Schizosaccharomyces pombe: one gene and its partner. The protein of the gene in region 1 interacts with the protein of each later gene in a pairwise test. Each region holds a gene or a part of one and is shown on either strand. Other genes may lie near its edges.

Region 1 (3,140 bases):
TTCTGTACTCCCTGACGACAGTGTACTCTTCTCGCTTGGCGATGAACTCGATTCAGATTTTGAGGACGACAATACTCTCGAAATTGAAGTAGAGAATCCAGCAGATGTTTCTAAAGATGCAGAAATAAAGAAATTAAAGTTACAAAATCAACTTCTTATCTCTCAGCTTGAAGAAATTCGAAAAGATAAAATGAATGAATTGACTAGTCAGACTACAGATCAGCTATCAGTTACCCCAAAGAAAGCAGATAACGATTCTTATTATTTCGAGTCTTACGCTGGAAATGATATTCATTTCCTTATGCTAAACGATTCTGTCCGGACCGAGGGATACCGTGACTTCGTTTATCATAATAAGCATATTTTTGCTGGAAAAACGGTTTTGGATGTAGGATGCGGTACTGGCATTTTATCCATGTTTTGCGCAAAGGCTGGCGCCAAGAAGGTTTATGCTGTGGACAACTCCGATATCATTCAAATGGCTATCTCAAATGCTTTTGAAAATGGTCTTGCTGATCAAATTACTTTTATTCGTGGAAAAATCGAAGATATCAGTTTACCGGTTGGCAAGGTAGATATCATTATTTCGGAATGGATGGGCTATGCTCTAACGTTTGAGAGTATGATTGATTCCGTCCTTGTTGCCAGAGATCGCTTCCTTGCACCTTCTGGAATTATGGCACCGTCCGAGACACGATTGGTACTTACAGCTACCACAAACACTGAATTGTTAGAAGAACCTATTGATTTCTGGAGCGATGTGTATGGTTTCAAAATGAATGGCATGAAGGATGCTTCTTATAAAGGTGTTAGTGTACAAGTCGTTCCTCAAACTTATGTTAACGCCAAGCCTGTTGTTTTTGCAAGGTTTAATATGCATACGTGCAAAGTTCAAGATGTCAGTTTTACTTCCCCCTTCTCTCTAATTATAGACAACGAAGGACCGCTTTGTGCTTTCACTTTATGGTTTGATACGTATTTTACGACTAAGAGAACACAGCCTATTCCAGAAGCTATTGATGAAGCTTGTGGATTTACAACAGGCCCTCAAGGCACTCCTACTCATTGGAAACAATGCGTTTTGTTACTACGTAATCGTCCTTTCCTTCAAAAAGGCACTCGTGTTGAAGGAACTATTTCCTTTTCAAAAAATAAAAAAAACAATCGTGATTTGGACATTTCGGTTCACTGGAATGTAAATGGGAAAGCTGACTCTCAAAGCTACGTGTTGAATTAGGATCAAAGTCTTTACTTAAAAATATAGAATTACTGATTAATGTTACTATGCTGTAGGTTTTTGGATTAGGAATCTTGCTGGGGTTTTAAGGCATTTCCTGTAAAATTATTTCCCCAGAGTGGGAATACGGTGGATCGAAAAAATCATCTAGTCTTAAAATATTCTCTATTTTCTATACTACTAAAAAATAACATTTTTTCAATCTTTTAAATATGGAAATTTGAGTACATAAGGATTAAACTATCAACAACTGCACAATGCTTGGGAAAGATTTTTAACGTGAACTATTATTATCGTTGATTTTTTGTTACGATTTGATTATATTTAAGGGATCTCTAAAAATAATTGTGACTTGAATCATAATTCAGATGACTAGCGTTCAATGGTCGTAGAATTGCAAATAAACATATTTCGTTCCGGAAAATTAAATATGGATATTTATAGCCTTAAAAGATAAATTAAAAATGTAAAAGCTTTAGCATTTTAATGTAATTAAGACGAGCCTTTTCAACAATCCATTCAATAAGTTAACTCATAGCGATTGTTAGCGCGCAGTGTTTGCAGGTAAAAATATAAGGTAAAGAGTTCAGCATTTGCAAAACACCAAACTAGGGCGAAAATGAATCAAAATACACTTTATGTGAATAATTTGAATGATAAAATTAATAAAAATGATTTAAGAACAGCACTATATATGCTATTCTCCACTTATGGGACCGTGGTTGATATTGTCGCGTTGAAAACTCCCAAGATGAGAGGTCAAGCTCATGTTGTATTCTTTGATCCCTCTGCCGCTGCAATTGCGATGAAGGCCTTAAAAAATTTCATATTCTTCGGAAAGGAAATGGTATGCTGTGAAATGAGCTTTCTCATTAATCCCCATAAAAAAACAAAAACGATTGACTAACATCTTTAATAAGAAAATTCAATACGCTCATTCGAAAAGTAAGATTATTGAAAGAATCGTCGCCGAAAATGACAGCAGAGGTCCTTTAAAACGGCTACGTGATGAAGCTGACCTTGAGTAAACTGTACATTTTCTAAAATTCACAATTATCGTTTTATATAGGGTAACTTTTTTCGGGATCCTGTTGGAGTCAAGAGAGTTATAAAGAGTGGTTTTCCTTTTTCTCTCTTTTTGTTCTTCACTGTATATACCTGTTGGTTTTAGTTGTTTCAGGTGTCAGTGTTTGCAGACAGTAAAGCGGACCGATAACACCATCGCATTGTTGCTAAGTTTTATAAGATGAAGCAAAATTCTAGTCCAATATCATCTTGTTTACAGCTATTTTAGTGGATTTTTCATGCAAGTCTTTCTCAACTAGCATTGCGCAAGGCACTGAACTTTAACGCATTTGATGGAATTGTTCACCTGGCTTCAACATCGCTCGTCGTCTTTCTTACAATGGGAAAGGATGTAGCATTGGATTTTCTTCCATCAAGCTTGTATAGCTGTACTTGTTCTTGCGATGGAAAATTGGCTTTTTGCGATTCAGAAAAAGTCCAAATCTTGGTACATATCTCAAATTGACGTGTTCGAGACTAGCTAATTCCCTTCAGGTACCTTCAACTGAAGCCAATACGCCTAAGTTTATGAAGGCGCTAGCCTATTTAGATGATGTGGAAGATGAACTACCAAATTGCCAAATGCTTGCTCGTATGTTCCCAATGCCCTTTGATGCTTATGAGAGTATAAAAGCTAACGTGTTTTACAGCTAATGAGCTTCGTTTAGGAGATCTAACTCCAAGTGTCATAAGCCGCTATGTGGTCTGGTCGCCAACAGGTCTCGCAGACAATTACGAGTATGTTCTTAAAAAGAGAAGACTTGAGTTTGACTTTACTTAACATTCCACTCGGTTTGTGTTTTTGTGCGTAAATATTTCTATTTTTATGAAATTTGTT
Region 2 (3,646 bases), 2.8 Mb from region 1:
AACAAGCATCCTTTTCAGGTAAAATATGCTTTGGAAGGGAATGCAATGCACGAAAAAACTCTCCACCTGCACAATACTCCATGCAAAGGTAAAGATAGTCCCTAGATTGGAAGGAATGATACAACGTAACAATGAACGGGTGTTTGCTCTTGGTCAAAATTTCTTGCTCTGCAAGGACTCTGTTTACCTTGTGTCTTTTAATCATCTCTCTTTTGTTTAAAATTTTCATAGCAAAGAGCCGATGGTTGCTTTTTTGGCGAACAAGATACACTTTACCCACATCACCCTGACCAAGAAGACGTATTTTTTCAAAACTATGAGGTGTGACTTCTACTCGGCTAATTTTTGTACTATTCCCAGAATAAGTTCGTTTGCCGTACTCAGTTCTTCCAAAAATGTAGTTGCCGGGGTTTTTTAAAATCTTGACCTGTGCCTTTCGAATATTGCTCATATTAATTAAAGGACGAGGAGGAGGCGCTTCTACTCCTTTGTGAGAATCAGGTGCGGAAGATACGCGTCTAAGGCTGGGACGACTATCCAATTGATCGCTACTATCATTCAGATCTAATTCATTCAATTGATTAACATTAATATCAAAGGTTGAGTCATCAGAATCATTATCCCTCTGATCATTTCGGACACTAGTAGAAACGGTTGCCGCTCGATTCCTACGAAAGTGAAACAAATTTTTCAGTTTATCTGAAAAGTGCGACTGGCTCATACCATCATCGGTGGAAGAGGGACTTTTGTCATTAAATTCAGTTTCTCGAGCCATTCTAAGTCATCCATTAATCTCGTAGCGCTTCAAACATTCACCGGTTAATAAATTTCGCTGACGGCTCACTTATAATACCTAATATAAATCAGAATGTAAGCAAACTTGAAAAACGACTTCAAAGCTCCCAAATAGTCTAATATAACTAGCCGAATGGTATTCCTCCTGCTTATATTAATTCTTGTTTCATTTGGAGGTGTCGGCAAAAGAATAGTTAGTGGAGCCACGGCCATCCTTATGTTATATAATCCTCTTTTTAAGCATATAGAAATAAACAGTCATATTGTAGCATTAACTAACAAGCAGCTTCAAAATACTTAGTTGAAGCTATTGTAAATAAAAGAAAAAACTTGTTTTTGGTTTTTATGTGTGGGTATTGATCTGTAGTTTTGTAGTAAATTCAGTTTGAATAATTCTTACTGGAACAGAATAAGTGTTAGAATAAATGCAGTGATTTTTAATTTCATATTCTCAAGAGTGACTGTATGATTTATAAGTACACGAGCTATGGAAGCACAACATTTAATCATGTATTTCTTCCACTTTCAACTACAAAAGAGGCTACTCTAAACCCAAACATTATCCGAAATGTCGATGTACATTTGTCGATATCGCTGGCATTTTCAATTAGTCCGACTCATGTGGTATTAGTATGAGGATGGATAGTTGATTCGATATTAGAAGCTGTCATATCAATTTAAATATAATTTCTTAGCAGTGCTTTCATTGAGATAGAGCAATACGATAGAAACAATCTGAAGAATTCATTAAAACTGTTACATTAAAAAACGACTTGATGTCAATATTGTTTTTGGAATGTTTTTCATTAAATGAGAAAACAAAAAGATATAGCAGTTTAGTAAGTATCTCAATGCAATTTTTTAATAGGAAAACAGGTTCCTTAAGCAACTCTGAATAATTGTAAATAACCTGGTTTCAAACTTTCGTTGGCGGTTTGTGCTCACGAAGTCAAATAGGGAGGCAGTATGAACATTATAGATGAGTTGAACTAAAACTTTGAGTGGAAAACAATGTGTGTTTCATCCAAATAGTCGATTGCTTGTGTTTGTTTTTGAGAGCTCAACAGATAAAAGAGTGTGTACCAATTTCTGACAAACTTAAGATATATATTTGACAACAATGAAAAAATGTTTTATTTAAAGGTGTCAAAACACACATATACAAAAATCATTTATTCTCTGTTTTCCCAAGAATTTTCTAGTACGAAAGCCGATTCTTGAACATGGAAGTCGTCAGTCAATTATCAAAGTATAATTACGCATAATTTGTTTTTTTTAAATCTAAAAAGTAGAAAAAGTGAGTATTTTTTGCTTATTGAGTCAAGATTTCTTTGTATTTATTTATGTGCTTACTATCCAAACTCTACCACTTTGCTTCTTCTCTTGACGTGTCATATTCTTGGTTTTTACATAATTAACTTTACATTATTAGATTCTAAAACGTTAACTATAACATTTTTTGAATAAACAATAGTGAAATTTAGGATTGTGAGCGTTTTGGATAATTTTTTAGGAATTTTAAATCATACTGCAGTAACAGCATAAAAAAGGCATTTTCATTACAAAAATTTCATGCGTCTTAATGCTGAATTTTTGTCTCAGGTACCCTCATTCATCAGTCCTTTGAAAGAAACTGAGCTTGATTTAAGATATGTTTAAAGAAATTACTGTATGCTACGTGTCATCCAGCTAACTCATAATTACAGGGTATCAGATTCCAATAATTGAAAATTTAGGAGTGTTAAGGGACGTACACGATGCAATTGATTTCACAGACAATGACATTCGATATTTAGGGAATTTCCCTCGTATGAAAAGGCTTCAAACGCTTTTGTGTGGAAATAACCGAATAACTGCTATAGCCCCAGACATAGGTAAAGTTCTTCCGAATTTAAAGACTTTATCCCTAGCACAAAATCATCTTCAAGAAATAGCAGATTTAGATCCGTTGGCTAGTTGTCCTCAACTCACTAATTTGTCGTGCATTGACAATCCAGTTGCTCAAAAACAATATTATAGATTATATCTTATATGGAGAATTCCTTCGTTACATATTTTAGATTTCGAACGGGTTAGAAGAAATGAAAGGCTTCGTGCTGAAGAAGTGTTTGGTCAAATTCAAAACCCTACAGAAATAGCTTCCTCTATTATGGGTGTGAAAAGTCGAGTATTTGATTTGGCTGCATTGGTACAAAGCCACCCAGAAGCGAATTCTCCTATTACAACTGGATATACACTTACACCTGAGGAAAGAGAAAAGATCAAAGAAGCCATTAAAAATGCCTCTTCCATTGCTGAGATAAATCGACTGGAAGCTATGCTATTAGAGGGGAAAATTCCAAAATAAAGTAACTCACAAGATTTCTAGAAACCGCATAGTTATATAATACATTTTTTCCATCTCATTTCTTGCATTCGATAGGTAACGCGTTTAATAGTTATTTAAGGCATCAAATCGTTAATCGTAAACAAAAACCGTCAATTCTTTAATGCTGTAGCAATTTAGCAATCCTTTCGTTCCTCGTGAGTAATCAGAATTATGCTGTATTCATTAGCTTTAAATAGTAATGATAATCTTACCTTCCAAATATTCCGCAGTGACCAATAATTCTAAAACCATCTCAGGTGGGATATCGAACTTTGGAATATCTAATTGATTTTTATATCTGTAATTGTAATGCAAATATTCACAAACTTTTTCCAACAGTGTTGCCCTAGACACCTTATTAGAATTGAATGAATAGACCAATTGCATACCGTATATCAGGAAATGTGCATTCATTTTTTTGCGCCTCAGAAAATATTCCTATACATTAGAATTACTTTACTAAATATCATTATCAAACCTTCG

The links. Proteins that work in one complex are often made in the same cells at the same time.
Region 2: the proteins of msl1 (region 1) and lea1 interact in a two-hybrid assay, tested with the Schizosaccharomyces pombe proteins (one large-scale study listed by BioGRID).

What each region holds. Positions count from the first base shown.
Region 1 is NC_003423.3:1,374,438-1,377,577, reverse strand, and holds msl1 (U2 snRNP-associated protein Msl1), read left to right. Parts: upstream 1-1,825; 5' UTR 1,826-1,856; coding exon 1,857-2,084; exon of another isoform or gene 2,085-2,157; coding exon 2,158-2,265; 3' UTR 2,266-2,589; downstream 2,590-3,140. Other genes in the region: ribosomal protein arginine N-methyltransferase Rmt3, read left to right, coding at 1-1,237; transcription factor TFIIIC complex subunit Sfc9, read left to right, coding at 2,643-2,750, 2,798-2,894, 2,953-3,040. UniProt on the Schizosaccharomyces pombe protein: Involved in pre-mRNA splicing. This protein is associated with snRNP U2. It binds stem loop IV of U2 snRNA.
Region 2 is NC_003423.3:4,144,785-4,148,430, reverse strand, and holds lea1 (U2 snRNP-associated protein Lea1), read left to right. Parts: upstream 1-2,160; 5' UTR 2,161-2,367; coding exon 2,368-2,448; intron 2,449-2,509; coding exon 2,510-3,142; 3' UTR 3,143-3,146; downstream 3,147-3,646. Other genes in the region: serine/threonine protein kinase Ppk22, read right to left, coding at 1-775; elc1 (elongin C), read right to left, coding at 3,333-3,337, 3,376-3,509, 3,553-3,601, 3,642-3,646.